Kluyveromyces lactis: one gene and its partners. The protein of the gene in region 3 interacts with the protein of the main gene of each other region in a pairwise test. Links are inferred from orthologs where the notes say so. Each region holds a gene or a part of one and is shown on either strand. Other genes may lie near its edges.

Region 1 (4,091 bases), on a different chromosome or scaffold from region 3:
ACGAGTAGTGGAAGGATATAAGTCAATGCCATAGATTGGAAAGGTATTTGTCTGCAACCATGTTTGATTTTGAATAATGCAGTTGAAATCAGTTCCAATTTAGTCTCTGAATTCAGATCTGAAAGAAGATGAGGAACTCTATGAACTATCATCGTTGCGTAACCAACAGTTTTAGCGAACATTCCTAACCTATCATCCAACAAAAAGGATAATTGCAAAAATACGTCAAATCCGAGTGATCCAAATAGCAAATAAAAGTTTTTCTGTTGTAGAATATCTAACAACGAATTCACAGATGTGGGGAACCAATATTTGATACCATTATCCAAAAGATTTGCTTCAGAAGCCAACTGAGAAATGATATCAATAACGCATTTCACAGATAAAACGAGCTCATTAATACTTGATCTAACATTTGATTCCTTTTTCAACTGTTCGTCGACAATCTGTTGTTCTTCCTTGTTCAACTTCTTTGAACCTTTCTTGGCTTGGTCCTTTCTTATACTTTCTTGCCATTTTAGAATTTCATAATCCTTTGAATTCTTGTTGTTTAAGATAGCTGATTGTTTTGCAGAGAGTACATCGACGACAAGTGTACCTTCTTTTCCGTTCCAGATTTCAATTTCTTGTTCTGTCACAGCAGATAGTTTTGTTGTATCCAAGTTTAATTGAATCATGCTTGCTACCAAAGGTGAGGTGATCTCAGGATTGATAAATGAGAGGTGAGAAATGGCTTTAATAATGGCTCTTCTTAATTCTGGTGTTGTTTTATCAGCGCTGTTAAGCAAATACATCATATTGTCGAATAATTTCTCACCGTATTGTCTCACTATTTCAGAAGGATCCAACTCTGCATTAAGGACTAAGCCAGCCCATCCATTCTTCAATTTAATGCCGTCTAATTGGGATAATACTAACAGCCTTGTTAACAAATGTACGGAGACAGACTTATCCGAAAGTTTCTGAGATAGGGTATTGAATAAAGGTGCTGCAAAACAAAATGATATACGCGAAAGAGTATCATTCTTTTGTTTTGACAAAGTTTCAAAAGCATCAATTATTGCATTGCCGACAAATTGTGGGTTCCTGTAAAATGCGCAGTTTAGAAGCTGTAAAGCTTGCTTTCTCTGTTCAAAAGGCACTTGCGTGGATAGGGTAACATATATCCAAGAAAGACCGTATGACTCCTTGTGTGCTTCAAGGATGTCATCGATTTTGGAAAGTATTGCAGTTGCACTCAAGTCAATAAGATGTTGAATGTAAACGAAACATCCATATGCTGAACCTTCTCCATTTTTTAATGGATTATTACAGACCTCCTTCAGATATGCAAGTGTTTCGTCTTCGAGCTGAACAATGATATTTAGTTTTGCAGTGTTTAGGTTGCTTAAAAAAGAATTGTACCATATCTTTCTCAAAGGTAACTTATTCTCATTAAAACCGGACTTTATGGCAGCAATTGAAACTTCGTCTGCTGTTTCTAATGAGGACAAATGGTGGAAAAATGCTGATAACATAATATTCAATGCTGTCTCATTGGATTCCTTCGAAATATAAGTTCTCAACCCATCCACGATTTTTGAAGACACTTGATTGGAGAAAGTTGGTACATTTATTAACAAGTTGGATATAATAATCTTATAGTCGGTATTCAGGTTGGTTTTCATGTTCTTAAAAGCCTCATCCACAAGTTTTTGTAAAGATGATTCGTCACAGGAATCAGAACATATTGACCTCAATAATGATATTAGGGACTTCAAGGAGCTTTCACGTACGATATCTTTTGAGCTTTTGAATGATGTAAAGGTTTGAGTAATGCATTTTGATGAAACAAATAAACCCAAACTATTAACTTTGTTAGAATTGAACGCCGAATAGAATTCAGCAGATTGGGTGAAAGATGTTTCTGGTGATCTTAAATTTGCTTTCTCAAAGCTTGGAATCAAATGCTTCTGAACTTGTTCTTCAGTAACAAATGAATATAGGAATTCTTTCAGGAAAAGTTCCAAACAGAATGCTGAAGGCAACTCTTTGGCGAGGATAACTTCTTTACCGAGATACTCTACTAATCTTTCAGTCAACTGTTCCAGCGAATGCAAAGGAATTGGTTTCTTGGCTTGGCACTGTAATACAGAATGAACTAGGGATCCCAGAGTGATAACTACACCAGTATTTGGAAGCTTCAATTTCGAGTAGTTGTCTAATAACAATGGAATAACATCATCAACAATATTAGATTTTGAATCTGTAGTAGATTCCAGGTTCACACAACTAACGAAACTCTTAACAGATTGTTGGAAGACACAGAGCCTCAATCTCTTACGATGTTGGTTTTGCTTATTCAAATCTTTCTTAAAAGGTTCATGGGTATCTAGGATAGTCTCGATAGCTGCTACAAGCATCACATAAGCGTGGACTATTTCTTTCCAATAAACATTGAAGAGCTCATCTGATTGTTCATAAATCAAATTCAAAAATTTAAGCACCCATTCCAATAAATTTAAATAATCAGTAACAGCTTTAGAAGGGCAGTTTTGAGTGCTGGCAGTCTTGATAACAAAATCACTTATCTTTTTACAATAGATGGGGTCGGTTTCAAACAATTGGACCAGGATTGAAGTGACTAGAACTTTTGATTCTTTATCCTGATATAAATCATAAGTGCTTAGTACGCAATTGAAAATCAATTCCAACGCCGAGCTATCAGTTTTACTTTTATCGTTGGATTTTAACAGTTCTAGGGCACTTCTTAATACCGGTAGCCTGACTGTCAATAAAGAAGCGTGGCAGTCTCTGTAAAGAACAGGCTCTAAATTTTCCCAAGTAGACATCCGTAAATACTGTTGAAAAATGAGATGAGACTTCTCAACTATGTCGTACTTTTAATAAATTAAGAGTCGGTAATTTTCAATGGCTTGCCGCTGATAAGCGTCTAAAACAACATTGCTTAAATCACAACTCATCTCTGAAATAATGAACTCTGCTCTTGTTTAAAAAACTATTCAAGATTTTAACATACAAATCTGAAAAGCTTTGGTGAAAGAAAAAAAAAGTACAAGATCAAAACGTACAAAATGATGTATTGTAACTAACTTGAGGCTAATACTATACTTAATATAATTAGTATTATAATCATCCCATTGATATATTAATGGGCATAGTAGTTCGCAAGTGATACTTTCTTTAATGTGCGATTTGTAGCAGTTTCACATTCAGTTATCAATTGGACTTTCCACTTGGTTGGACAACACAGAGTTTGTCCAGAAAATTACTATCATTTTCTATGAAGAAAAGAAGGTACGATATTATTTAACTATACTGACGCTGCATGATAGTGACTAGTATGGTTGAAACAAAATAATACTGAAAACTTTCAATTATAATACATAAAGTCATATAATGTGTAAGGTCAAGTCTAAACTTATCGTGTTCAAGACTTGTTACTTTGGTTAGTCTTGGACCTTCCAGTGCCAATAGTCAAGTTTGAGATTGTCTTGGTGATCTTTTCAAAAGATTTGAGATTTGGTGACGGTGACGGTGACGGCAGGTGCGGATTACTATGTGTGTGAAGTGGAAGATGAGGAGATTGCTCTTGAGATTCAGGTCTCGTTATTGAACGCAAAGTTGGCTGTCTTCTTTGTTTCATCAAAGTGTCATCAATTTCAGACATATCTTGTGCAAGTTTTTTCTTGAGAGTTTTGATTTCTTTAGAAATATGCAAGCAGTCCTTGCATCTAACCATCAATTTCACGTCACTCACTAAGACTGCAGATTCGTAAATTAGTTCCATGACATAATCCACAGGTGGGAGTGAATTTGGTGAAGCAAGACTATCTAAAGTGGATAACTTCTGGTTGTGGTACGGTGGATCATTTCTGACTTTACCGCTAAACAAAGACGGTTTCTTCGTATAGTTAGAGCCAGATTCAGTCGATCCTCGAGATAAGGGATCAACTGAATCCTCTAGTTCTAGTGCTCGTTCTCTGAAGGACCTCTCTATTTTGCTCTTAGAAGGTAGAGAAAGTCCAACACCTAGATCGTCAGAGTCAGAAGGACAGCTTGAATCGTTCGTATTAGATTTTTCCAAAGCG
Region 2 (3,254 bases), on a different chromosome or scaffold from region 3:
TCCTCTTCTTCTTCGACTTCTTGAGTTTCAGTAGCTTTCTTCTTCTCTTCTTCGATTGCCTTTTCGGACTCGATTTGTTCCTTGGTCTTTCTGACTCTTTTACCGTAAACAACCTTCTTTGGTTTTGGATGCTCATCGCCGGATTTTTCTAGACCAGCAACCTTGATGTTACCGGCAGCCAATAGAGCAGCACGTCTGTTTTCAAGCAGTTTCTTTTCCTCCTTTTGTTTCTTAGTTAGAAGTTTACCCTCTGCCTTTAACTTTTCACGCTTAGCTTGTTCTCTCTCACGCTTAGCCTTTCTAGCTTCTTCCTTTTCTTGTTCAGCCTTGGCCAACTTTTCTTCTTCTTCCTTCTCCAATCTCTCTTCTTCTTCCCTGGCCAACCTTTCTTCTTCTTCTAGCTGCTTTTGTAACTCCAATTGACGTTTCAAAGCAGCAAGACCGGCTGGGACCTTCTTCTTTGGTGCAGCCTTTGGTGCCGCACCTTCAGTGGACTTGCCAGCCTCCTTTTCAGCCTTCAGTTTAGAAGTTTGTTCAGCATGAAGTTTCTTGTTGTTTTCCTTCTGCGCTTGTTGCTGAGCCTTCTTCTTTGCGGCTTGTTCCCTCTTCTTCTCCTTCTCCTTCTCCTTCTTTTCCTTTTCCTTTTCCTTCTTGGACTTCAAGACTGGCTTCTTAGTATCCTCGTCTTCCTTCTTGTCCAGCTTCTTCTTAGATTTCTTCAAAGTGGACATAAAATCTTCCTCAATGGCAGATGCATCGGCAACTTCGGTTTCACCACTTGGCTCAACAGAACCATCTATCGAGGGTTCTACTGAAGATTCTTGAGGAACATCTTCCTCATACTCTTCGTCCCAGTAATTCTGTTGATTCTTCTTTGATTTTTTCGCCATCTTGAACTACTCTTTCGGATACAAAGGTTCTACTTTTACAGTTCTTCCGAAATCTTATTATGATAGACAGCAAACAAAGTGTAAAAGAGGGTTATAACAAGTAAAGAGATAATGTAAAATCCTTTTAATTGATCTTACGCAAAACAATCTTTCAAATAGTTTTAAGTTGTGAGAAAAACCTGTACTAAAAAATAAAAAACTGATGAAAAACTTCAAGTTCATGATTATACGTACCTCGATGGAAAGAAAAAAATAACATACTAGATTACCCTGTCTTTGGTGAGGTGCGCCCAAAATTCATCTTTCAGGGGCCAGAAAGGTCCCATTAGCCTTATTTTCGGGGTGAAGACCGGTCGATGCCATTCAGCATCGCTATTTACGATCGGCGTTGAAGATGTATAAAATATCACCTTGGACGGCTTGAAAAAAATTGACAGCTTCATCTTTGTCAACAGTAGGAAGTTCTACAGATATTCACAATCTCATCGCTTAGGATTAATGATATTAGAGTTTCATTATAGTTTGGTTACAGAGGCCAAAATCAGTTAAACGGTTGGAATCGATAGGTATCAGTCAGTATTCCACTGAGGTTGGCATCAAATTATAAAAAAAGGATTTATTTTGAAGAATTTCCTGATCAATATCTGAATTGAAATAAAAGATGTCTACGACAGTAGAGAAGATTAAGGCCATCGAAGATGAGATGGCCCGTACCCAAAAGAATAAGGCCACTTCTTTTCATTTGGGTCAGTTGAAAGCTAAGCTAGCGAAACTTAGAAGAGAGTTATTGCAGGCTGCTTCAAGCGGTAGTGGTGGTGGTGCCGGTGTTGGTTTCGATGTGGCCAGGACCGGTGTTGCTTCAGTCGGATTTGTTGGGTTCCCCTCAGTGGGTAAGAGTACTTTACTTTCTAAGCTGACTGGTACAGAATCTGAGGCTGCTGAGTACGAGTTTACCACTTTAGTTACGGTTCCAGGTGTCATCAAATATAAGGGTGCTAAGATTCAAATGTTGGATTTGCCGGGTATCATTGACGGTGCTAAAGATGGCCGTGGTCGTGGTAAACAAGTTATCGCTGTGGCCAGAACTTGTAATCTACTATTTATTGTTTTGGACGTTAATAAACCATTGCATCATAAACAAATCATTGAAAAGGAATTGGAAGGTGTTGGTATCCGTTTGAACAAGCAACCTCCAGACATTTTAATCAAGAAAAAGGAAAAAGGTGGTATCTCCATTACAAATACAGTACCATTGACGCATCTAGGCCCGGACGAAATTAGAGCTGTTATGAGTGAATATAGAATCAACAGTGCGGAGCTTGCTTTCAGATGTGATGCCACCGTCGATGATTTGATTGATGTACTTGAAGCTCCATCAAGAAGGTATATGCCAGCTATTTATGTGCTAAACAAGATAGATTCTTTGTCATTAGAAGAATTGGAACTTTTATACAGAATTCCAAATGCAGTTCCAATCTCTTCTGGTAAGGAATGGAATTTGGATGAACTACTAGAAGTTATGTGGGATAGACTAAACTTAGTCCGTGTTTATACTAAGCCAAAGGGTACGATGCCTGATTTCACAGACCCAGTGGTGTTAAGGTCGGATAGGTGTACCGTAAGAGATTTCTGTAACCAAATTCACAAATCTTTAGTTGAGGACTTCAGAAATGCTTTAGTGTACGGCAGCAGTGTGAAGCATCAACCTCAATATGTGGGGCTTAATCACACATTAGAAGATGAAGATGTTGTCACAATTTTGAAGAAATGAATACAGGCTACTTTTTTTTTCTCATTCTTCTCACCGTCATCATAGTTTTTAGCATTTTCATCGCATTTTCATGTAGTGTTATCCATTTTATTTAACAGCTTTCCATAGACGGATCTGGTTAGATTATCGTAAACGTTCATTACTCAGGTTGCCATAACTTCTGTTAAACATTAACTCAATACTGATTTGTCGTGTTATGTTTAAATTCATAAATAGTAGTAAATATATGATATTTTGTGAAATCGATAGCAACGGATACATATGGCCTTTTTATATTGGCCAACATATATGTTAAGATATAAAAGCAATGATGGATGCTGATGGTGATATGGAAAGAAAGAATGAATGAATGAAACTTCGGTTATTTGACGAAGTGAATATTATTCTATTAGAAATGAATGTGAATAGTATTGGTGGAATCCTCAAAATCACAGCAGTATTTTAATGAATCCTTTTAAGGTGCGATATAGTACAGCTTGAATTAACAAACAAGGAAATCTGGAGGAAAATGCAGCCTACTGATGAGAGTGTATTCCATTGAATAACGGATAAATTCGCAGAGAAATAAATCCCTTATTTATTTAACGCCATTC
Region 3 (2,617 bases):
TCGTCACCCGCATCATCATTCAACAGAGTCTTGATGTAGTACTCTTCGATCTCGCGAATTCTAGCATCGTAATCTTCATTTTCGTTCGAAAACACAGACGAAGTCTGTGTTGAACGAGACGAAATGCTAGCACTATGGTTGTAATTGGTATAATTCATTGATGATAATATATATACTTAGATGGCAGAATTCTTGTCTTCGAGCAATATTTCGTCAATTAATACCACCAAAAGTGTTGCTAAAATGCCTTACTTTTTAAACTACAAAGGAGCCAAGATAACAAGAATGGTAATCCAATTATAACTCTCCAAGCGATGTGACAATACCTAGGTTATATATATATATATATACGTCTGTAAACCTTTAGTGATACCTGTCGTTGTTAAGTCTGACTGACACCCAGAAACTCACAAGAATGGGAAATCTGGGTGCTCTTAAATATGACAACCCTCAGAATTGCCCGTACAAATGCAGGTCATTGAACCATATTAAAAGGCTTTTTGCTCAGTGAAAGCAGGCCAGACGAGTCTTAATCCATTTTTCAAGGTGCACCGTGCGAAGTGACTGCACCTCGAAACTGGAATTTTTCCGTATCGAAATCCGGAACGGCTGTGTTGAGGATATTACCCGGACACAGAAGAATGCGACACCCGGAAAACGGAAGTTTTGAGGAGAAAATGTAATGCACGTGATTAACAATCAAAGGTTTCTGGCTGATTTCCTCTAGTTTCTCCACTAGTTTTGGGTGTGTGTATGAAAAATGAGATAGGACTGGAACCGGTATATTTTATTTCTTTTTGTTCCTAGAGGGGTCTTGTGGGTTTTCTAGGAGACAGAGAGGCTCACCTCTTTTGGCTGCGCCAAGCATTTATTTCCGCCAGTTTCCTTTAGGTAGTAATCGGGTTTTTGCATGACTGAGTTTTTAATCCACGTGATAGAAAATGAAGAGGGTACATTCTGTATCCGGGTAATGTTGTATCTGTTTTAGCACACTTCTCACTCTGTCAGATTTTTCAAGCATCATCATCATTATCATTGTCAAGTTGAAATTTGTACGGCCAGTCCAGTTATATGCAGAGGAAGCGTGTTACGAAATGTACTGAATACACATTTTGAGAGTTTACCTAATTGTTTCTATACGCCCTAACCCCTTCCAGTTAACTACACAATGGACTATAAAGAAGAACAGACGCAGGAACTTGAGATTCTAGAGTCGATCTATCCAGATGAATTTACTGTTCTGAACTCTGAGTACCCAGAGATCGAATTACAAATTGATATCAAATTGGACCCCGTACCCTTGGATGATTCTTCATACACCGTGGATTCGATAACTAATGATCATATTTTGCATACTATTTTTACTCTACCAGAAAATTACCCCGATGAAGCACCTCTAATTAAGATTATGCCGGAAGAAGTGCCAAAATTCGACAGAGATGATGAAGATGTGGATGACGAGGACGATGAAGATAAGGACGAAATTGAATACGATGACCATGGTAACCCGATAGTATCAAAATTCGAAAATATACCTGATAAAATCCATTTCGATGAATTTATACCGCAATGTATCGAGAAATTGAATGAACAAATCCAAGAAGATATGCTTCTTGGGATGCAGATGTGCTTCGCTTTGATTTCCAACATCAAAGACTACGCCGAACAGTGGTTCCAAGAAAAGCTAAGTGAACTGGAGAAAGAACATGATAGGTTGCTGCTGGAACGTGAAAAGGAGGAACAGAAAAAGTTCAGAGGTACTAAAGTGACAAGAGAATCATACATCGAATGGAGAGCCAAGTTTAGGAAAGAACTGGGGTTGGACGAAAGAGACGCCCAGAGACGTCTTGCTGCCCACCAGGGGAGACTTTCTGGTAGACAGATCTTCGAACAAGGACTTGCTGGCGATGAGGATTTGGATGAGGAGAATGAATCTTTGATCTCAGAAGGTGTAAAAGCCATAGCAGTTTAAATTCTCCATATTTTTATAACACTTCTAATGATTGATTTCATAATATGGCATCACTTTAAACCTTAGACTAAGCATAGTTAATACACCTTCTCATTAATGAAGGTAAAAGTCTCACGGTGCAAGGTCAGGTAATTTTTTTCATATATTTACAGTATATAGATAAGAAAATTATGATAATAATAATAGTAGGGGTTGTGAGTTCTAGTTGTAAGAATATAAAATATGACAAGTCCCACTAGCCATGTGATAGTTAATGCTATTCAATCGAGGGAGCCTCTTGATTCGAATTGTTATGTTGATATACTTGGGAGTTTCATATTTGGTTTTTGGACATAGAGAATAGATCAGCAAAAGCATCGGATTTCGTGCTGGCGTTGTTATTGTTGGTCGCGGCTGGCGTCGTGGTGCTGCTAGATCCACCGAAATCTAGAAGATCATTCAATGTAGCATTATTATTAGAGGTTTTATTATTATTATTATTATTATTATTATCGTTACCAAAACTGTTAAAGTTACCAGATGCAGGTGGAACTGGACTTTTCTCACTTTGAAAATCACCAAATTCATCATCGTCATCATCTTCACCATCAACACCGAAGCTCTCGAATACGTTAGCATTATTGCTATTGTTGATTGAAGGAGAAG

The links.
Region 1: the proteins of GIR2 (region 3) and GCN1 interact in a two-hybrid assay, tested with the Saccharomyces cerevisiae proteins (2 studies listed by BioGRID). The link is inferred for Kluyveromyces lactis from reciprocal best matches to the Saccharomyces cerevisiae genes GIR2 and GCN1.
Region 2: the proteins of GIR2 (region 3) and RBG1 interact in binary tests that used the Saccharomyces cerevisiae proteins (3 or more experiments, as listed by UniProt). The link is inferred for Kluyveromyces lactis from reciprocal best matches to the Saccharomyces cerevisiae genes GIR2 and RBG1.

The regions. Positions count from the first base shown.
Region 1 is NC_006042.1:1,148,779-1,152,869, forward strand, and holds the start of GCN1 (Gcn1p), read right to left. Parts: upstream 2,832-4,091; coding exon 1-2,831. Other genes in the region: KLLA0_F12452g (uncharacterized protein), read right to left, coding at 3,431-4,091. UniProt on the Saccharomyces cerevisiae protein: Ribosome collision sensor that activates a translation quality control pathway when a ribosome has stalled during translation. Directly binds to the ribosome and acts as a sentinel for colliding ribosomes.
Region 2 is NC_006042.1:2,172,539-2,175,792, forward strand, and holds RBG1 (GTP-binding protein RBG1), read left to right. Parts: upstream 1-1,551; coding exon 1,552-2,661; downstream 2,662-3,254. Other genes in the region: FUN12 (translation initiation factor eIF5B), read right to left, coding at 1-890; KLLA0_F23309g (uncharacterized protein), read right to left, coding at 3,235-3,254. UniProt on the Saccharomyces cerevisiae protein: Involved in ribosomal function.
Region 3 is NC_006040.1:1,411,222-1,413,838, forward strand, and holds GIR2 (Gir2p), read left to right. Parts: upstream 1-1,168; coding exon 1,169-1,972; downstream 1,973-2,617. Other genes in the region: putative mRNA-binding protein CTH1, read right to left, coding at 1-158; ENT5 (Ent5p), read right to left, coding at 2,286-2,617. UniProt on the Saccharomyces cerevisiae protein: Acts as a negative regulator of the GCN2 kinase activity by disrupting the GCN1-GCN2 interaction in amino acid-starved cells.